Linked DNA regions of Nothobranchius furzeri. The protein of the gene in region 2 interacts with the protein of the main gene of each other region in a pairwise test. Links are inferred from orthologs where the notes say so. Each region holds a gene or a part of one and is shown on either strand. Other genes may lie near its edges. The genes, in order: disc1, immt, chd3, traf3ip1 and mrpl44.

Region 1 (4,101 bases), on a different chromosome or scaffold from region 2:
CAGTGTTGGAAGTCAAGTCAGTGGTAGAATTGCGTTGCTGTTCTCCAATCTGGGGCAAAATGTCTAAATATCAGAAAAAACAGACTACAAAACCTGCCGTCTGAAGCTCAGCTGCGATGTGGCTCACTTCTAGCTCCCGAAAAAGGTGCACCGGTACATTTTTCCCCCCGACAACGACTTACAGGACATTCATTCCTACTGGAGACCACTGAAGATTGAACCACACGGCTGGTGTTTGAGCTGGGGGGGGGGGGGGGGGGGGGTAAGGTTGATCAGTTGGTGCCCTACGCACAGTGCCAGATGCGCGTGGGCGGAGTGCTGGCTACGTCCATCTTTAGTTTTTTTAAGGGAGAAAAACTGACAACACCCTAGTCAGCTGAGAATGAAAGCTGTTTCTTTGTGACCTTCCTTCCATGACTCAGTCATTAGACTGTTTTGTGATTATTTCACTGTGGAATGATTACGCCATGCTCCTTTAAAACTAACGCTGCAGCCAGCCACTAGGGGGACAGCAGTTAGTTCTGGTTTGCATTTCCAGGCCCTGTTTGGATGTCTAGTAGTTAAATCTAGGTTTAAAGACCTACTTCAGGATGACTAAATGATGTAAAACTGGTGGCCACGGCTGTACTGCCAATCAAACCCTTGATGTTTATTTCCTTTTGCAGTTCCACTAAATGTCACGCAGGCATTTAAGCCCCTTGGCTAATCTGTAAACTGATAATGAGGTCACTTTTATTCAACACCAAGGTCAGATTCTTGCTGTTGCTCCAGGTTCAGATGTCCCAGCTGTCACTGAAGTACTGGTCCTCCTCTTCCTCCTCCTCCTCCTCCTCCTCTAGAGTCCCATTCTTCATCAGGTCATTCAGCTCCTCTCCCTCCTCTTCCTCCTCTTCCTCCACCTTCAGCTGTGCGAGCATGGCCTGTAAAGTGGACTTTACCTGCTGAACTTCTGTTTCTAAGGACTGTGCAGCGTGAGTTAAGGGAAACGATTATGTCTGCTTGCTGTGCAAATTAGAAACACGCCAACAGAAAAACATCAAGGAAAAAAGTGGGACTTGTTGACTGTAATGGCTAACGGTGCTAGCTGAGGTCAGCCGTGACGCCATGCAGCCACCAGCCTCCAAACAGATTACTGACCATCGACTTATACCCACTTTAACCCTAATCTAGTTCAGTATTCATGAGCTCATCTAAAGTGCGAACCCATGCAGGCAGACCGCCGATCTTAATTATTCATGAAACGTCATGATGGAACGGGATGCTGGCTGTCATCAGTTTGGAGGATTGTTTAACCTGCTTAGTACCTTAAACAAATGGTGTGGGTGTCCGGCTTCAGTGGAAAATCAAAGGGACGACTTTAAAGGCAGATGGGGCCTGAGTGGACACCCGTTAAAGAGCCACGCATGAATAATTCAAAAGGTAGCACGAGATTTTTAGCGGATCGTGGCTCAAACAGGAAGATGTTCAAGATTATGTTGGAAATCTCTTAAGCTAATATCAAACACTGACAAAATTCCTCCTATCTTCATCTCCAGTCCCTCTCTCTGTGGTTGTCCATACACGTCTTATTATTATTGAGAGCCGGAATTCAATTAAGACCCTTCCAGGCTGCTGGTTTGATCTTCCTGTCGCTATGGCAACAGCAGCGCCATCGCTAGAACGGGCTCCATTCAATTTTGCAAACCAACAATATCATCCTGCCTCTCTGGTGTCCTCAAGAGTCCACAGCCCTACTGCATGAGTGCAGGGACTTCATCTACAGGAAATAAGTGACACATCTGGACATGAGAACAGAGAGCCGGAGAGGAGAGAGCCAGTCTCCGTCTACTCCTAGCTGCCAGCACGCATGGATATCACGCTTACGATAGACGAGCCTGCGTTGACCTCTCACAGCACAGTGGTCAACACGGGTCTTCAAGAAAACGTTCAAACATCTGGGTAAATGGGTCGTGTGGCATGCTGTGTTCAGAGATTCGTTATGTTAGGAGGCATTTTTGCCGGGTTGCTTTCAAAGAAGAGGAAATAACTTGTGATCGAGGGTGATGATAAAAAGTCAGGTGGCAAATTTTCCTTACCTCCGGTTCTGAAATATTATCTGGCTTAATAAGGCAGCAACACGGAAGAGGAGACGCAGGCGCAAGAAAAACACACGGATCTAATTCCAATCAACTTTCTAATTAGTGCAGAGAGTGATGTAATCAGCTCCAACAGTTGGATTTGAGTTATTATCATGGATATTGTAATTTTCTTCCCCACCGGAACCGGGCAGAAGGGGAGGGGAGTGGAGCTGAGGAAGGGGGGTCAGACGGAGGATGGACATTGAGATTTGACAGGAGCAGTCATCACAGTGACATTCCTCTATCTGCTGCGGCGCAGCTCCTGTCGGGCGGCTTTAATCTCAGCTCGCAGTGACTGGCAGCGCACATCAGTGGCCCTTTAATAACCTCGCGTGGACTTTTACCGTTTCATTTTCTGGTCGGCACATCCAGTCTGTCAGGAAATAACAACCAAAAAAAACCTCTTTGATCCTAGTTTACCATCCACTCCCTGGAAAACGGATCCATAATGACAGCTTTTCCCTCAGAAAGGTGAAGCCACTGCAAACCGACATCAGTCAGCATCTAGCTTTAGGAAAAAGGCCGGAGGAAAGCGGTCCTTCAGACGGACGGACGCAGACACACAAACATCCAGTCTGTGTGATTCATGTATGTTCAGAGAGAAAGGATATGGGTAAGGGCTCGATCCTGTTTCAGCAAAGCCGTCTGCAGTTCGTCCTCCAAGGCCATCAGTCTGTCACTGATCAGCTCACAGCGCTCCATCAGGTCTGCAGCCTCCGCCTCGCTGCACACATCCTGGTCCGGAAAGGACAAAACAAAACCTCCAAGTGTAAGGGTGTGTTATTAAAATGAGAACACGCATACACACGGAAGACTGTCCACATCTTATAGGACATTCAGCGTATCTGTGGGCTATGTGCATCCATAAAAACATCAGTTTTGGTACTTTTATGCTGGTTTTGTTGATCAGACCAACACGTTTGCATTGAAAAGGAAAAGCAGGAGTTCAGAAGGACATTAGAAGACATGAGGACACAAAAACAAGTAGAAACACTTACAAACACTAAATCTCTTTGTTACCAGTTACGGGCTGATATTTACAGGTGTCTTTATTGTTTATTCCTGATACTCAAATCTCTCACTATCTACGCCTTTTATTTGTGTCACTCCAGTTTTTATCGGTTTATTTAATTTTGGCTCCATAAAACAGCAACTGTACGTTTAGTTTGTTCTTGAAACAATCAGCTCCTCTGAACCCGAGACCGTGGTCTTGAGTTGGAAAAGGGTAGAACGCCTTCTCCAGGTCAGGGATGAGGTCCTACCCCCCAAGGGGAGGAGTTTAAGCATCTCAGGGTGTTGTTCATGTATGAGAGAAAGATGTAGCGGGAGCTTGATCTGGAGCTGGCGTTGTACCGGTCTGTTGTGGTGAAGAGAGAGCTGACCTGGAAGTCGAAGCTCTTGATTTACTGGTTGATCTACGTTCCTACCCTCACCTAACCTTACGAGCTTTGGGTAGTGACTGAAAGAATGAGATCGCGGATACAAGCGGCTGAAATGAGTGTTCTCCGCAGGGTGGCTAGGCTCTCCCTTAGAGATAAGGTGAGATGCTCGATCATCAGGGAGGAGCTCGGAGTAGACCCGCTGCTCCTCCACATCGAGTGGAGCCAGTTGAGGTGGCTCGGGCATCTGATTAGGATGCCTCCTAGATGCCTCCCTGGTGAGGCACGTCTAACCGGGAGGAGACCCACAGGAAGACCCAGAATACGCTGGAGGGACTATGCTTCTCGGCTGGCCAGGGAACGCCTTAGTGCTTCCCTGGAGGAGCTGGCCCAAGCAGCTGGGGAGACGGAAGTCTGGGCCTCCCTGCTTAGGCTGCTGCCCCCGCAGCATGAACCTGGACAAGTGGAAAATAATGGATGGATGAAATAAAAAATCTGAAAAATCAACTGGAATGCATCACAAATTCTGATTTCAGAAACTCTTAAGGTAACCAGCCCCCATCTCAAAATCCAACATGCTGCTTCACACATCAAAGCCAACGATG
Region 2 (4,101 bases):
GCGTGATTTTAAATCGGAGAGAGAGGGGGCCATTCTCACTGCTAGAGGGAGTTGATTCCAGAGACGAGGCGCAAAGATTGAGAACGCGCGTTCTCCTTGCGTCCTCGCCCAAACACTTGGGACCAGGTACGTAGGGCAGAACCAGCTGAGTCAAGTACAGAGCAGCATAAAGACGGAGTGACTTAAAAACAAGAAGTAAAATTTTAAACTGGATGCAGTAACGCACCGGGAGCCAGTGCAGCTGGGCCAGAACAGGATTAATGTGCTCCCTCCTTCTGGTGTCCGTCAAAAGGCGGGCCGCCGCATTCTGCACCAGCTGTAGGCGCGCAACCGAGGAAGATGTAGATCCATAAAGAAGGGAATTTGCATAATCAAAGCCAGAGATCACAAATGTATGGATCACTGTGTGCCGGTCATGTCTAGTCAGGATGGATTTCATCTTTGGTAGCCGGCGAAACTGGAAAAAGCAGGATCTAACCACCTGGCTAACCTCACTTGATCTGCTACTCGCTAGCGTTAGCTAATCTACCCGTAGTTCCACTTTTAATCCTAGATTTTGGACCGTTTCTGCCTTTGTGTCTTTTCTGGTTTCTGTTTTCCTCCACAGCACCTGTTAGCACGTTGTGCACCAGTAAAAGGCATCTTCTTTACACGATAGCAAGCAACGTACCTTTGTTCAATAAAGTTCTGGGGGGGGGGGGGGGGGGGAGTAGCTTGAAAAGATGTCGCACGAGTGCTACGTGTAAAAATAGTTTAATGCACACAGATTTTTTTTTTCATCGCACCTGCGACATATATGTCCCCCTCGCTCTGATCTGCCTCGGCCTGCTCTGCTGCTGCATACAGATGATCGTTGCCAGCGCATTTGCAGCCGCGGTGTCCATTACTGAACAGAAGCAGCCGGAGCAGTCTTGCTTTTGGGACTCTCGGACTCTGATTTTGTATCGTGCTTTGCTGTGTCTGCCAGCACTGTGTGTGTGTGTGTGTGTGTGTCTGATTCTATCTGCCAATTGGACGCTCCCCCTAATGGCACGCGTGATTTTGAGCTGGCCAATCAACCGGCGGTGGGTTTGTCAGCCTTGTTCGGTTCCAGGCAGACCGCCTTGGGAAGAGGGGTTGTGTGCAGGAATGAGAACAGCCCTAACCCGGTCCAGGCGGGGTGGAGCTGATGCTAGTGTGTAAGGGCCATTAGTGTCTCATCAGGGACTGGGTGGGTCTGTCTTTACATAACTCAGTAAGCGCACACACCAACCCGCTGTGCCTGTAATGTGTGTGTTCATGCAGAAGCGTCAGCAGAGGCGACTCAGATCATCTCGGCCATCAGTGAGGTCCCATCAGTTCCTGCTACGTGTGACTCAGAGGCAGCTGCAGGTACGTTCTCCTCCCCTCTGGAAGCTCTGACCTGGTGCTGGCCTGTAGGCCTTGGGTTGGACCTACTGGTGTCTGAATAAAGTCCAGCCTCCTCCAGGCCCAGGGTTCTACCTAGCAGGGCATAAAGCCTAATCTGGTCTCCACCAGGTTCTAAATGGTTCCATCCCAGTGTAGAAAACCACCTTCAGAGTCACCGGGTGGTCACGTGATGTCCAGGTCGTCTGTGCACAGGAGACCGTGGTTATGGAGACAGGGTGTGCTTCAGCCATGCAGACGTTTGGGTCACATGATGGAGGTGATGGTGGCTCAGGGGTTAGGAGTTTGTCCTGTAACCAGTGGGTTGTCGGTTTGAACCCAGGCTCTGTCCAGGTCATTGTTTGTGGTTTTAGCAGACACGTTCGTCCAAAGCGACTTACAGCTGTGGCTACAGTGTAGATCACCACCATCAGTGTGAGTGTCTGTTTAAAAAACATGAACTAGGTTCATATGATGCTGCTTCGTGTGTGTGTGTGTGTGTGTGTGTGTGTGTGTGTGTGTGTCCTACAGACGAGTGTAAGGAGTGTCACAAACACGCTGATGTTTCAGAGACGGCAGCAGTCGCGTCAGCAGAGCCTCTAAAGGAACGTCCAGTTGATGAGGTCACTGCTAGACTGGTCCAGCAAGACCAGGAGGAAGAGAAGCTTCTGGCCTGTGAGCGGATAACCACACACACACACACACACGCACACACACACATTAATGAAGCTTCCCTGGTTTAGAAGCGTGGTAGTCTGCAGCATCGGGGGTTTATGCTTGAAGCTTTAAGAGGTTTCTGAGCCTGCTGTTGTTTTTGCAGCCCTTTCATCTCGTCTGGAGGACTCTCTAGCCTCCTCTGCTAAGGCCACGCTGCAGGCTATTGGAGCTCAGGAGGTGGCTCTGCAGGCTGTCACCCAGCACACACGCAAGCTGAAGGACGCCATGGAGGCAGAGGTGGGTCAACCTGAGGATACCTGTGGTTCTAGGTGTGTGTGTGTGTGTGTGTGTGTGCGCGCGCACGTATGTGTGTGTGCGCGCGCTCGCAGGATGACAAGTCGGGCTAGAGCAGAGGTGTCCTGTTGTCTTTAAGACAAAAGACAAAATGGTAAAGTTAACCGTGCCCAAGGGCAAAGAAAAATGTGTCTTCCTTCTATTGAAATGATGAAGAGGCAGCAGCTGTCGATCATCAGGAGGTGGACTCCAAACAGAACATGTACGATAACTCCTGAAGTGAGATTTACAAACGGAACAGGACGTTCCATCTGTGACGCCGGGCTCTTCCGCTGGTTGCTCTTCCTGTCCGCGGAGGACGGAGCGGTATGTGCAGCCAGGCGAGTGATGTTCGGAGGAGCTGTCTGATGGGTGAGTTTAGGCTGGGGTCCTCAACTAAACCTGAGTTTTCTCCAGCAGACACCGTGAGGGCAAGACGCTCTTCTAAAATACACTTTAAGTATTATTGTTTGTTGTAATTTATTAATATTTAAAACGGCTTTGTTTCTGGACCAGCTCTGCACCCTTACGGGGTCCAGGAGGGTGCGTGGGAGCTCGCCCGACTAATCTACGAGTTTTGCTGTTAGGTCTGTGTGACCGGTGTCGGAGCTTGCCGGCAGTAAGTCGGGCTCGTTTCCAGTGAGAGTTGGACTCTGTCAGGGCTGCCTTTTGTCACCGATTCTGTTCATAACTGTTATAGATGGGACTTCTAGGTGCAGCCAAGGTGTTGAGGCGATCCGTTTTGGTGGCCTGAGGATCGGGTTTCTGCTTTTGGCAGACGTGGTCCTGTTGGCTTCATCAGAACGTGATCTCCAGCTTTTGCTGAGCGGTTCTTAACTGAGTGTGAAGCAGCTGGGATGACAATCAGCTCCTCTAAATTCGAGACCATGGTCTTGAATCGGAAAAGGGTAGAATGACAGCAGCAGCTCAGGAAGTACAGCGGGTTGTCCAGTAATGGGAAGGTTGCGGGTTCAATCCCGGCTCCGACCAGAGAATGCTGCTGTTGTGTCCTCCTTGGGCAAGACACTTAACCCGCCTTGCCTACTGGTGGTGGTCGGAGGGGTTGGTGGCGCTAGTGCTCGGCAGTCTCGCCTCTGTCAGAGCGCCCCAGGGCAGCTGTGGCTACATTGTAGCTCACCCCCACCAGTGTGTGAATGTGTGTGTGACTGATTGTGTTGTGAAGCGCCTTGGGGGGTTGCAGAAACCTAAGTAGGTGCTATACAAATACAGACAATTTACCATTCTCCGGGTCGGGGATGAGGTCCAGCCCCAAGTGGAGGAGTTTAAGTATCTCAAGTTCACGAATGAGGGCAAACTGGATCAGGAGATCGATAGGTGGGTAGGTGCTGCATCTGCGGTGATGTGGGCATTGTACCGCTCTGTCATGGTGAAGAGAGAGCTGAGTCAGAAGGCAAATTTATCTCTATTTACTGGTCTTTCTACGTTCCTACACTCACCTATGGTCATGAGCTTTGGGTAGTGACCGAAAGAACAAAATGGTGGATACAAACAGCCGAAATGAGTTTCCTCCGCAGAGTGGCTGGGCTCTCGAGAGGAGTCAGTTGAGGTGGCTCGGGCATCTGGTCAGGACGCCTCCCTGGTGAGGTTTTCCGGGCACGTCCAACCGGGAGGAGACCTAAAGGTAGACCCAGGACACGGTGGAGGGACTATGTCTCTCACCTGGCCAGGGAACGCCTTGGGATTCTCCCGGAGGAGCTGGCCCAA
Region 3 (4,101 bases), on a different chromosome or scaffold from region 2:
CTGGACGTCCGAGTCGTCGGTGTCGTCCTGGCTCCGGTCCAGGAGCCTCTCGATGGCGGTGCTGTCGTAATGAATCACGTTGCCTTCGTCCTCCACTTTATCCCCAGAATTATTCTTCATACCTGCCAGCATATTTGTTTTTTTTTTTCTTTTCAGAATAATCCAACAAATAAAAATGGCCACAGCCAGAACCATCAGTCACCTTCTCCCTCGTCCTTAAAGAGCTCCTCCGTCCCAAACTTGAGGATATCGTCCAGCTCCTGTTTTGTCATGGAGCCCGCCTTGGATCCCAAACCGGGCCGCACCACCAGGTGGGTCAGCATCATCTTCCTCTTCGCTACCTGGGTGATGCGCTCCTCCACGCTGGCTCGCGTCACAAAGCGGTAGATCATCACCTTGTTGGCCTGCCCGATCCGATGAGCTCTACTGAACGCCTGAGCGGCAAGAGAGAGGCTGCTTCAGATAAAGCAGAACAGAAGTTAGACAGACGACGGTTTATTCCATCAGAGGCTGTACCTGTATGTCGTTGTGGGGGTTCCAGTCAGAGTCGAAGATGATGACGGTGTCCGCCGTGGCCAGGTTGATGCCCAGACCTCCAGCTCTGGTGGAGAGCAGGAAGCAGAACTGACAAGCTCCAGGAGCTGGAGACGAGGGAGACGGTGTGATTATCCACCCTGACACAAAAATCTAATCCTCGTGGAAGTAACGCGGGAAACTTTAACTTCCAACGCTCATTAATGCTTTGCTTCCCTAAAACACTGTTTAGCTTTAAAACTCAAAAGTGCCAGACTGATTTACCTCGCTTCAGCTGGATTTACTCTGACTGAGACCGTTTTGTAAAAGTCTGGTCACGGTCCACGCAAAACAAGCTCATTCCAGTGATAAACAGGAATTTCTACCTGGAGCAAGCAGATCTGGGAATAATCAGGAGCCTGTAATTTACTAACATCCTGTTTTTGTTAAAACGTTGAACAAACGGTCACTTCTGTTTCTGCCTGTTTATTTCCCACTTTATTAGTTGGCATCGCGTATTTCTGCGGTATTTATTCCAGTCGACAGGTCTGTTTATGAGGGCTGGTTTTACATTTTTAGGTTTAAGAAGTTTTTTTCTTGAGTTGATCAGAGAAAATTTCAGATTTATAAAACATAAATTTTTTAAAATAATTATTTATTGTAATGCTTTTATTTTGTCTTTCTTTTCAATGGACACTCACCTGTATGGAAAGCCATTATGGTCAAATGTTTTAAAAGAAATCCTGTTATTATGTTGTTGCTAACAATGAATCGTCATTACTAAAGGGCGTCGCCCACTCGTCTGTCATACTGACACTAGCAAGAGTCCAAAAAGGGCTCAGCGGGAATACGCTCCACTGTGCTCCGTAGGTGAGCAGAGAAAACCCCGCCCCTCAGAGAAAACCCCGCCCACTCATTTGAATATACAAGCATAAAATAAATAGAACCTGAACAAAATGGAGAGAAAAAAATCCATGAAATATTTATTTAAAAATATTAAAGCATCACAAAAAAGACAATCATAAAATAAATAAATAATATAATATAATATAAAATTCTAATTGACTAAATTAGCTTCCTGTTAATAATTTTTATTGAAACATTTATTTATTTGATAGAATACTTTTAAGTATCTATTGATAACAGTTTTTAATCGTTTATATTTAGAGTGAAATCAATTAATCAATTTCCCTCTGGGATTAATAAAGTTTTTTTGAATTGAATTGAATTGAAATGGCTTGTCATAAACTTCCACGCCTTCTGAAGGCTTAATTCATGTGCATCTGTTTTAAAAGTCAAGTTTTTTTCTCTCTTTTTTATTTCATTCAAAATAAAAACAAATAAAACATATAAACAATAAGATATTCATAACAAAAAATCAAATTTGAACGAAAAGGAGCAGAATGAAGAAAAACATCTTATAATTTCTGCCCCCTATTCCAGAAGAAATAATTTATATATAATTTCCATTTGTCAGACACACACACACACAGAGATTCATTTTAAACTTTTTCCTGTTCTAAATTCCAGTGCGATCATGATCACTGATTTAATTAACATTTTCATAATTATTTAGTACACTCAATTTGGTACATTTTTTTAATATATTAAATGACAGAGTTTTTTTAATTTCCCTTTTAAGGTTATTAATAATTTAACACCATTTACAGATGTATTCCACTCCTTAATTTTAGTTCTAAATCTAGGTTTTGCAAACACATCAGTATCTTTCAGCATATAATTACTAGTTCTCTTTTCAAATATCCCCTGAATGTTTGTTGGCAGAGTACCTAAATTGGCTTCATACATGGTTTGTAAGATTTTCCAGTCTTTTTAAATCATGAAATTTCAGTAATTTATATTTAATAAACAATTCAATTCAATTATTTATTCAGGACAATGCACATTAATAAACAATCAAATACATTGTATCGATCGTAAATGGGCCAAATTATATAGCATAGTTGCTCATTTGCATCTGTAGTCCTTCAACAAGATAACTAAGTAAAACAAGTAACACTATACAATTTAAAAACAGTCAGATAGAAACATTCCATTAAAATAGGCAACAAAAAATAAGAATAACTAAAGATGCAAACATGTCTGGGAGCCTTTAAGATGTAGTTTGAGGTGCTTTTTAAATGGGTTCGATGGATCTCTACAGCCACTATAATTGATGATTCTCAGAGCTCTTTTCTGTAAAATAAATAAGGGTTGTGTATAGTTTTTGTATGCTGCTCCACAGATATCTACACAATAAGTCAAGTATGGAACAATCAGTGAATTGTACAATGCCAACAAACCAGAACTAGTCAGTAAAAACTTGACTCTATGTGATACTCCTAAGGATTTGGCAATTTGACCTTTTATGTAACTAATTTGGGATTTCTATGACAAGTCTTCATCAATAAGAACTCCAAGAAATTTAGTTTCTTTTACTCTTTGAATTGCAATCCCATCTTATTTTAAAAATAGAGCACACATTTCATCTTTGGTTCACCCAAACATAACTCACCTCTGCCACCTGCTGACATAAATGGGTAAAACCAGATTCCTAAAGGTAATTACTCAGATGAAAACAACCATACTTTAATGCTCTTATTGTGAAAAGCCACGCCGCAGCATCCCTTTAGTGTCTTTGGGATGTGTCTTTACTTTGCTATTTTATTTTTAAACTCCTCTTTAATCCGCAAAACTCTGTCTCTGTTAAAGTGTGTTTTTTCTCACCGTTGAATCTGTCGATGGCTTCTTGTCTCAGTGCTCCTGTGATGCCTCCGTCGATTCTCTCATACTTGTAGCCCTCATGGTCCAGAAAATCCTCCAGTAAGTCCAACATTTTAGTCATCTAAAGACCACAGAAACATCATCAGAGCCTTCTGCTGGCTAACGTCACCTGTCATCTGGTGCTTGTGCTGCTTTCTGTGTGCTGGGGAACCTGTGAGAAGACAAGCACTCGGTGCCCCTGCTCCTTCAGCTTCCTCAGCATCTTCTGCAGCAGCATCAGTTTCCCAGAGGCTTTTGTGAGGGCCGACCCTTCGTACGCACCACTGGGGCTTTTCTGGGCTTCCTGTACGCAAGAAGGCCCCACAGACTCAATACTGGTGACTGTGAATATTTCTTCTAAGAGATTTGGTGCAAACATGAACACAAAGAGGGATGCACATGGAGCAAAACAGACACACGTTTAACATCGTAACAAAACAGACACAAGGTGACCACCAATAGACTCTAAATGAACAAAAACACACATAAAATAATTGGAGCACAACCACAAGAGACCACGAGGTGTCACTGTTACACCAAGTGACATTTTTAGTGCGATTTGACAGAGAGGGATGATTTTCCTTCAGCATTGGTGCATCAGTGAGTTAATCTGCCCTCACCATTGAGGCGACGGGGAACAGATATGGGTGGTTGCAGCACTTCTTCAGGTCCATCATGATGTTGAGCAGAGACACCTGGTTTCCTCCACCTTTAGAGTTCAGAGCCTCAAAGTTCTTGGTCAAAATCAGCTTATAGTACTTCCTAGTTAAAGAAATACACACAAAGATAAGATGGTGGAATCAGAAAGCACTGGAGATGTTTGAA
Region 4 (4,101 bases), on a different chromosome or scaffold from region 2:
AGCGTGTGTCGTATTTCATCACGACGCACGGCCTCCAGCTAGGACAGCAGCAGAAAACTAACAACATACAAAACCACCCAAAAAAGGATGAAAGGTGGAACCATGAGGTGTCTAAAAACAGGAAAACCAGACATGGAAAGAACGGATCATCATTAATGACATCATTTGTTGTGTTTGTTAACCTCACTGATCCCGTTAGATCATTCAGAACAAGAGGACATGAAGAAAAGCTTCGCTGATTCCTCTCCACTCTTAGTTACTGTTAAGTTTGGGGATGTAAGAAAATAGCAACACACAGAAATATCACAATATGCAGTGTTTGTGAATCGATATTTAAAAGCAGCGTACCCATTTTCTTTAGAGAATTTACAAACATTTACTGAACAGGTCCTTCTCAATAAATTAGCATATTGTGATAAAGTTCATTATTGTCTGTAATGTACTGATAAACATTAGACTTTCATATATATTAGATTCATTACACACAACTGAAGTAGTTCAAGCCTTTTACTGTTTCTAATATTGATGATTTTGGCGTACAGCTCATGAAAACCCAAATTTGCTATCTCTAAAAATTTGCATATTTCATCCGACCAATAAAAAAAAGTGATTTTAATACAAAAAAGTCAACCTTCAAATAATTATGTTCAGTTATGCACTCAGTACTTGGTCGGGAATCCTTTAGCAGAAATGACTGCTTCAATGCGGCGTGGCATGGAGGCGATCAGCCTGTGGCACTGCTGAGGTGTTATGGAGGCCCAGGATGCTTCGATAGCGGCCTTAAGCTCATCCAGAGTGTTGGGTCTGGCGTCTCTCAACTTTCTCTTCACAATATCCCACAGATTCTCTACGGGGTTCAGGTCATACCATGGTCAGTAAACCCTTTAGCAGTGGTGTTGGCACTGTGAGCAGGTGCCAGGTCGTGCTGAAAAATGAAATCTTCATCTCCATAAAGCTTTTCAGCAGATGGAAGCATGAAGTGCTCCAAAATCTCCTGATAGCTAGCTGCATGGACCCTGCCCTTGATAAAACACAGTGGACCAACACCAGCAGCTGACATGGCACCCCAGACCATCACTGACTGTGGGTACTTGACACTGGACTTCAGGCATGTTGGCATTTCCCTCTGCCCAGTCTTCCTCCAGACTCTGGCACCTTGATTTCTGAATGACATCAAAATTTGCTTTCATCTGTAAAAAGTACTTTGGACCACTGAGCAACAGTCCAGCGCTGCTTCTCTGTAGCCCAGGTCAGGCGCTTCTGCCACGGTTTCTGGTTCAAAGGTGGCTTGACCTGGGGAATGCGGCACCTGTAGCCCATTTCCTGCACACGCCTGTACACGGTGGCTCTGGATGTTTCTACTCCAGACTCAGTCCACTGCCTCCGCAGGTCCCCCAAGGTCTGGAATCGGTCCTTCTCCACAATCTTCCTCAGGGTCCGGTCACCTCTTCTCGTTGTGCAGCGCTTTCTGCCACACTTGTTCCTTCCCACAGACTTCCCACTGAGGTGCCTTGATGCAGCACTCTGGGAACAGCCTATTCACTCAGAAATGTCTTTCTGTGTCTTACCCTCTTGCTTGAGGGTGTCAATGATGGCCTTGTGGACAGCAGTCAGGTCGGCAGTCTTACCCATGATTGTGGTTTTGAGTAAGGAACCAGGCTGGGAGTTTTTAAAAGCCTCAGGAATCTTTTGCAGGTGTTTAGAGTTAATTAGTGGATTCAGATGATTAGGTTAATAGCTCGTTTAGAAAACCTTTTCATGATATGCTAATTTTTAGAGACAGGAATTTTGGGTTTTCATGAGCTGTACGCCAAAATCATCAATATTAGAAACAGTAAAAGGCTTGAACTACTTCAGTTGTGTGTAATGAATCTAATATATATGAAAGTCTAATGTTTATCAGTACATTACAGACAATAATGAACTTTATCACAATATGCAGATTTTTTTTGAAGGACCTGTATTTTTGTGCGGTGCAATTCAAACTCCGACTGCAAGGTGGCAGCAGCTTCCACCGCCTCCACTCTGACGGAACAACGAGATCTCACAATCATACTGTTATAATACTGGAAGAGTCTGATCTGAGTTTTCCAATGAATTTCAGTCTAATCGGGGTTTTAGTGTCACGACGTATCGTCTGTATTGTGATATTTATCTCATCGCCAGATTAGGGTTAGGATTACACACCGCTGGTTACATTCTCACCTGATTCTCTTCTACCTCTGAGGGCTAAACAGACAAAAAAACACAGATGTGTGGCTTTCAGGAATCACAGTAAAAACTCGGACACATCTAACACCACAGAAACGCTCTGAATCCCCCCGAAGGCCTTTTACTAACAGGTGCGTACAGAAGCAGACGTAAAACCCAACGCAGACTCACCACTGGCTCTGTGGTGGCTGATTTGTTGCTCTGCTCTTCAGGACCGAGTTTCTGCAGCAGTTTGTCTGCCTCTCTGGTCTGAACACAAACAAACAAACAAACAAACAAACAAACTTTGTGTGAGTGATCAGTGCTCAGATTTAGGACAGAAGTGGAGTGAAGCATCATACTTTGTCGTTTCTACTCTCGTCACTTGGGTTTCTCTCTTCCTGGTCTTTCTGCCGCTCTCTGTGTTTGTCTCTGTGAGATTCTCTCTCTCTGATTGTCTGATCGTCTCTGCCTCGATCCCTGTCGCGGTCTTTCTCCTTGTGCCTGTCCCGGGCGTGTCCTTTGTCCTGCTCCCGGTCCCTGCTCTTGTCGTGGCCTTTGGCGGGATGCTGCTGCTCACCGCGGTGATTCCTGTCGGAGCGCCTACGGTCCCGTTGGTGCTCTTTATTCTCATCTCTGCGTTGACTCTCTGGCTTTTGGGGCCGCTCGGCGTCCTTCTGGTCCTCGCTGCTGCTGCGCTCGGTTGCCTTTTTCTTTTCCTGATATTATATAAACCAAAGTAAGGACGGGGACCCGATCATGAGGATAGATATGTGAAACATAACTTTTTATTGGAAAAGTATAGAAAAGTCTTTTTACTCACCTCATCATTCTGTGTGTGTTTGCGTCCCTCCCTGTCGTTACTCTGAGACTTGGACGTGCTGGCTCTGGTTTTTAAGTCCACCTTGTCTCCTGCCAGCACTCGCTTCACTGCTTCATCACTGGACAACTGCAGACCAAACAGTAAAGATCCTCAAAGCGGAGGATGGAAAAAACCTCATCGTGTTTTTAAGTTGAAAGGCAACATTTCACAAATAACACACATTTTAAATGTATTCTTATTCATCCCCTCTTACGTCATCTGTACACGCACTTGTTTTAGCTTGTGTGTTTTTGCCTTTTTCACACTTATGGCCTAAAAAAAGAAAATGATGCTACAACCTTCAGTGCTCTACACAAATATTCTGATTCTCGCTGCATACGCTGCAGTGAGAATGTATTTAAAGCACCAGGAACTGTTTACAACGGTCCCTAGGAAAGTGGCTCATTACCTCCACCTCCAGGGTGTGTCAGAGTTCTCCTGAGGCAGAAGAAAACATTTCCCAGGAGTGGAAAAAATGTTTGTTAAAAACAAAAATGGAGTTTTATTTTAATGAATTCCCATAAAAACAATATAAAAAACACTTTTTGTGTCTTTGTGTGAGTGCGTACACATGCATATGCACGTGTGTGAGTGTGAGTGTGTGTGTGTGCGTGTGTGTGAGTGTGAGTGCATGTGTGTGTGTGTGTGTGTGTGTGAGTGTGAGTGCATGTGTGTGTGTGTGAGTGTGAGTGTGAGTGTGAGTGTGAGTGTGTGTGTGTGTGTGTGTGTGTGCGTGCGCGCGCGTGTGTGTGTGTGTGTGTGTGTGTGTGTGTGTGTGTGTGTGTGTGTGAGTGTGAGTGCATGTGTGTGTGTGTGTGTGTGTGTGTGCGTGCGTGTGTGTGTGCGCGCGCGTGTGTGTGTGATGCAGACCTTATTGAGGCAGCACTTGCCGATGGCCTGAAGCAGCTCGTTGGTTTTCTCCGGCTCATGGCCGGCAACGATCCGTGCGGGCTTGGCCGCCAGAGGCTCGCCGGTCACCAGCATCACGACATCTATCGCTTTCTGAAGAAAGGTTATTTTTGAGTCCTTTTCCTAGAATGAGATATAAT
Region 5 (4,802 bases), on a different chromosome or scaffold from region 2:
CATAGGTTGGGCCGCGCTGGTCGCAGTCAAAGCACTTTCTGTTGGGGGGCAAACTCGTCATTTCCCTCAGCATCTTCAGGTGTTTCTCCTCTTGTTTTCGTTTGGCACTCGCCGCCATGATAAAGGATATACAGCACCGATAAATAAAATCGGGGGAGGTTTAAATGTCAGCTACAACTGAAACAAAGGGCTGTGCTGTTTAACGGTTGCCGACTCGTGCTAACGGCAGCCAGGGGGTGGTTAAAGTGGCTCCGTTGTCAGGGCGGGCGGCCTCACGTCTCCTAGAAAAAGAGGCTCACGCACTCAAGAGGGGAACAAGATACTTCCTGCTATCGACTTCCGCTTTCCCTAAAACCCTGTTATTAGGCAGACTACGCTGCACATAGAATAGAATATACATAAATACGTACGATACCTGAACGTTCTGGGCGGAATGTAGCAAAATTTGGTCTAGCAGTTGGAAGTCAAATGTAATAATCAAACTATTAGGTCGCGACTGGCAAAATGTCTGAACAATAACTGTTATATGAAATATTCGAGTTCGGTATATTTCAAAATTATTCCAGGTAATGAAGTATAATCTCTAGCCAGAACAAAAACATTTTGTCAGAAATGTCCTGGTTTTATTACATTCGAAAGTTGGGGAAACGAACTATCTTGTCATTTTTATGTAATCTTTGGCAATGCTCATGACAGTGAAAACGACCGCTCACCAGCGCCATCATGAGGCTCTTCATAGCCACTGCAACACAAAACCAAGTCTCAACGTTTGTTGTGAAACTAAAATATTACATAGATTTTAAATATATATGTATTTTTTTTCAAGGTAAGCTCTAAAGGCTTAGTGAAAAATATACTTGATCAAGGATGCTTGGATTTCTCATTGAATGCTGATGTAAATATTAAAAACATTACAATTTTCACAAATTTGTAAATAAAATTTATTACATACAAATTACACAACATAATACAAATTTTGCTAAACACCAGATGTATTATTTACAAATAGATGGTGAGATGGCAGGGGTAGATGGTAAAAATGAATCAGCTGGTTTTATGCAGGTACGACAGTGAAACTAGTCGATTTTATACTAATAATAGCTCAAACATGGGCCGTCTGTTTAATACAGTAGAAAGCATGATCTTACAGCATTATTGCAGCTCTCATTTTAAAACTCATCAGCATCAACACTGACAAGCACAATACATTTCTGCCTACCTATATCCCCTTTATTTTTTGCTGGAGTATAATTATTACTTTACTAAGTACTGCTGGCAGACTGAAGTTTGCATTGCTCGTGCTGCTGTTGTGGAGAAAAGTCGATGGGTCTGCGGTTCTCAGTGTAGCCGTAAAGTTTTCGAAGGGCAACGCGTGCTGCTTCTTCCTCAGCTCCAGCCAGTGTCTCTCCTGGACCATTAGCCAGGAGCTTCTGGTCACTTATCAGAGGTGAACAGACAAAAACAGGTATATTTATATGATGCAGAGGACAAAAAACAGCTGCATAGTAACACACATACCTGTAAAGCCCAACAAAGTAGAGTGGTAGGACAGTGCTGGCACCAGCAGCCCTGATGAGACGAGGCTCTGGAAGAGGAACATTCCTCTTTGTCAGCTCCTCCACCAGCAGGCCCATAGGGTTGACCACAGTCCACATGTCAAACAGGTCCTTCCCTATCAGCTGAGTCAACAGGAAGTCCTAAGAAGTGGCAGAATATCATGACACGCTGAACACGAATCCAACCGTGCAGTTTTAGGATGAGCACATATTTAGAAATAAACATCAAGTGTTACTCTGTGTTCATCTTACTCTGAGAAAAAATCTAGCTCGTTCTGCTCCACTGCTCTCCTGCAGAGCTCCAATCACCGCCATGAATGTAGAATAGAGCACATCATCTGGAACAGGGAACTCTGCGCTCATGGTAAGGTCCTCAAGGCCAAGATTTCTTGCAACATATGTCACAACCTCTGGGCTGGCAAGATGTCCCACAACACTCTCCACACCTTCATCTGGCAGACTAGGGAAATTTGCTCTGCACCAGTCGCTAATGAAGCTCTTAGTAAAACCCTCTCCAGATTTACTCAGCTGGTTGTTATCCTTGAGAACCAGAGCTGTAGCTTCTGAATCCACACCTAATCCCTTTCTCCTGTCCTGCTCTGCCTGCAGGTAACAGGGATTAACGAAGGCTGTTTTAAGTAGCTCCAGGGAGAAGTTTTCATTGAGGCGAGTGCTGAAAGCTTGAACTTCAGCGTGGTAATCCCAGTTAGGATGCTGTGACCTGAAAGAAAGTGAGATATGGAGCAAATTCTTAGACAAAAAAATAGTACAAAATGTGTCATAAATTCTAGGAGAATAAACACTCGTTATATTTGTAAATAAATACTGGGTGGGCAGTTTATATGGACCACCCTGTATGCACCTTAATAAAATGGACCGGTGTGCGGTGTGCTGCTAAGAGCAAGCCAGACTAAATATCCATCCCCTTAGAAACAACCACCAATTAAGAGCAGTGAAGCTATTTTTATTAGCATGTGAACCAAATACAGAATGTGAACATGGTTCTAATCTGTTTCTCTTGAAAGTTTTGATTTTGACTGGAAATATGATGGAACAATGATTAAATAATTGACGTTATCAGGATTTTGGGCCTCTATAATACATAGCCACTATCTTGTGGCAAGTCCTTTTTTAAAATGTTTTCAGGAATTTTCCATTGCTGCTATTAAATCTCGTTAGCTTATTTTGTTTTATTTCTTCTTGATGCTCAACATATTTATTTTCTGCTTTGAACTCAGTAAACAAAGCTGGTTAAACCTCCTTTGTGTAGCCTAAATTGACAGAAATGTGACATGTTTGGCCTTGAGGTGCTCTCTGGTAAACTTTAGCATTAGCTGCTAACGTTACCGTGGCTTCGGTGGAGGAGGTCCTTCCAGCTTTAGCTTCTTGGCCATGATGTACGTGTACGCTCTCATCCATCGTTTCTTCCCTCTAATCTGAAACAGTGAAACACTTCCACAGACGAGCTGGCGGTGTATTCCAGATGTTAGGACACCACGACTGAACAAGTACATAGCCGACATGTTTCCAACAGGAGCAGTGTGCAACATCTTAAAGAGTCCGATGCGAAACTAAATCCGGTCGACCAATCGTTACTATGGAAACAAACCAAGCGGTTAACGACAACAAACAGGCGGACTAACTGCTAATATTAGACAACGAAAACTAATCATTTCAATATATAAGCAAGACATATTATTTTTCCATCCTTTGGGATACTTTCATAGTTTTTTTTTTTTTTTTGAAGAAGGCTAGCCCAACAAACGATGGCAGCTCATTCTGAAGGTGGAGATATTTCAAAATCATCCGGCATTCATGCACCAGGAGGTATTTTAGAGGCTGGAGCTGAATTAAAACGGGAAGCCAGACAACTGAAGCAAAGCTCACTGCAAGAAGAAACATATTCGATGCCACGAATTACTAGGAAGCTCCTTAAAGAGCTCTGTAAGCAGCACAAGCTGTACTACACCCCTTCCCTTAATGACACGCTTTATCTGCACTCCAAGGGTTTCTCTGTCATTGAGAATCTAGAGGAATACACAGACCTGAAGTGCCTCTGGCTGGCAAACAACGTGTTGCAGCGCATTGAGAACCTGGATGCCCAAATTCATCTACGCTGCTTGTACCTTCAGCATAACCACATTCACAAGCTGGAAAACCTTGAACATCTAAGAGATCTTCACATCCTGAACGTATCCAACAACCACATCCACATTATAGAAAACATCTCTGGGCTTTCTGACCTCAGCACTCTGGACATTGCTCACAACAAGCTGGAGTCTGTGGAGGACATTGAGCATTTACGTCATTGTCTGGCCATCAGCGTTTTGGACCTGTCTCACAATCTGCTTCATGATCCCAAGATCCTCTCTGTGCTTGAGGCCATGCCGGACCTGCGAGTGCTGAACCTGATGGGAAACGAGGTGGTAAAGAAGACCCCAAACTACAGGAAGGCTGTGATCTTTCGCCTCAAGCAGCTCACTTTCCTCGATGATCGCCCTGTTTTCCCCAAAGAGCGGGCATGTGCAGAGGCGTGGGCGAGGGGGGGACTGGAAAAGGAGAAGGAGCAGTGGGAATTCCAGGTGAAGATGAAAGTCCAGAAGCGCTTGAAGGGAATGGAGATGATTCGCCAAAAGGCTCTGGAGAGACGCCGCCTTCGTGGTGAGCATTTGCACACATGAAGTACAAAACAAAATGTAGATTGTAACTTAAATAACCTTCTTTCAGAGGAAACAGAGGCCCCCACCTCTCCAGAGATGGTCCTCCTGGATGCACATGAAGAGCTCCTGGATAATCTATCAGAACAGGAGGATGAAGACAAAAACCAAAACGATGTAAAGAGAGGTGAAGTGTGCTCTGAAAACAGGAAGCCTTCTCCTAGGTCTCTTCTCACCAAAGAAGATGATCTTGGAACAGCACACGGTCCTGGACCACTGGTCACAGAGTTGGAGGATGAAGAGCAGCTGGAAACAATCCAACTCCTCACAAACCGGCCACTGCACATCGATGACCTGCCTGATTTAGAGAATGTGGAACTGGAGGGTTTTACTGAAAGCTCCTCTCAGCAGGTGTTCAAGCCAAAGATAGAAGTCATATCTGGAGGCAGTGATGATGATGAGGAGGAGTCAGCGCTGGACTGGAGCGAAGACCGCTCCCTCTCAGGTTCAAGTCAAAACTCAGCTTTCTAACCTACTGCTCTGCCTTTTCCTCCAGCCGAGGCCTGAGCTCCTCGGGGTGATGCCTGAC

What was found.
Region 1: the proteins of immt (region 2) and disc1 interact in binary tests that used the Homo sapiens proteins (3 or more experiments, as listed by UniProt). The link is inferred for Nothobranchius furzeri from reciprocal best matches to the Homo sapiens genes IMMT and DISC1.
Region 3: the proteins of immt (region 2) and chd3 interact in a two-hybrid assay, tested with the Homo sapiens proteins (2 studies listed by BioGRID and IntAct). The link is inferred for Nothobranchius furzeri from reciprocal best matches to the Homo sapiens genes IMMT and CHD3.
Region 4: the proteins of immt (region 2) and traf3ip1 interact in a two-hybrid assay, tested with the Homo sapiens proteins (2 studies listed by BioGRID and IntAct). The link is inferred for Nothobranchius furzeri from reciprocal best matches to the Homo sapiens genes IMMT and TRAF3IP1.
Region 5: the proteins of immt (region 2) and mrpl44 interact in a two-hybrid assay, tested with the Homo sapiens proteins (2 studies listed by BioGRID and IntAct). The link is inferred for Nothobranchius furzeri from reciprocal best matches to the Homo sapiens genes IMMT and MRPL44.

Annotation. Positions count from the first base shown.
Region 1 is NC_091752.1:2,396,316-2,400,416, reverse strand, and holds the end of disc1 (disrupted in schizophrenia 1 protein), read right to left. Parts: intron 2,853-4,101; coding exon 2,730-2,852; intron 966-2,729; coding exon 774-965; 3' UTR 553-773; downstream 1-552. UniProt on the Homo sapiens protein: Involved in the regulation of multiple aspects of embryonic and adult neurogenesis. Required for neural progenitor proliferation in the ventrical/subventrical zone during embryonic brain development and in the adult dentate gyrus of the hippocampus.
Region 2 is NC_091741.1:108,913,355-108,917,455, forward strand, and holds part of immt (MICOS complex subunit MIC60), read left to right. Parts: intron 1-1,284; coding exon 1,285-1,371; intron 1,372-1,917; coding exon 1,918-2,061; intron 2,062-2,206; coding exon 2,207-2,340; intron 2,341-4,101. UniProt on the Homo sapiens protein: Component of the MICOS complex, a large protein complex of the mitochondrial inner membrane that plays crucial roles in the maintenance of crista junctions, inner membrane architecture, and formation of contact sites to the outer membrane.
Region 3 is NC_091742.1:58,713,489-58,717,589, forward strand, and holds part of chd3 (chromodomain-helicase-DNA-binding protein 3), read right to left. Parts: intron 4,039-4,101; coding exon 3,897-4,038; intron 3,581-3,896; coding exon 3,449-3,580; intron 3,359-3,448; coding exon 3,241-3,358; intron 642-3,240; coding exon 517-641; intron 435-516; coding exon 203-434; intron 123-202; coding exon 1-122.
Region 4 is NC_091754.1:2,495,998-2,500,098, forward strand, and holds part of traf3ip1 (TRAF3-interacting protein 1), read right to left. Parts: intron 4,085-4,101; coding exon 3,923-4,084; intron 3,140-3,922; coding exon 3,014-3,139; intron 2,910-3,013; coding exon 2,553-2,909; intron 2,461-2,552; coding exon 2,383-2,460; intron 2,230-2,382; coding exon 2,206-2,229; intron 1-2,205.
Region 5 is NC_091753.1:32,619,122-32,623,923, reverse strand, and holds mrpl44 (large ribosomal subunit protein mL44), read right to left. Parts: upstream 3,132-4,802; 5' UTR 3,107-3,131; coding exon 2,904-3,106; intron 2,278-2,903; coding exon 1,809-2,277; intron 1,698-1,808; coding exon 1,519-1,697; intron 1,438-1,518; coding exon 1,263-1,437; 3' UTR 919-1,262; downstream 1-918. Other genes in the region: agfg1a (arf-GAP domain and FG repeat-containing protein 1a), read right to left, coding at 1-118; dynein axonemal assembly factor 1, read left to right, coding at 3,323-4,217, 4,284-4,744. UniProt on the Homo sapiens protein: Component of the 39S subunit of mitochondrial ribosome. May have a function in the assembly/stability of nascent mitochondrial polypeptides exiting the ribosome.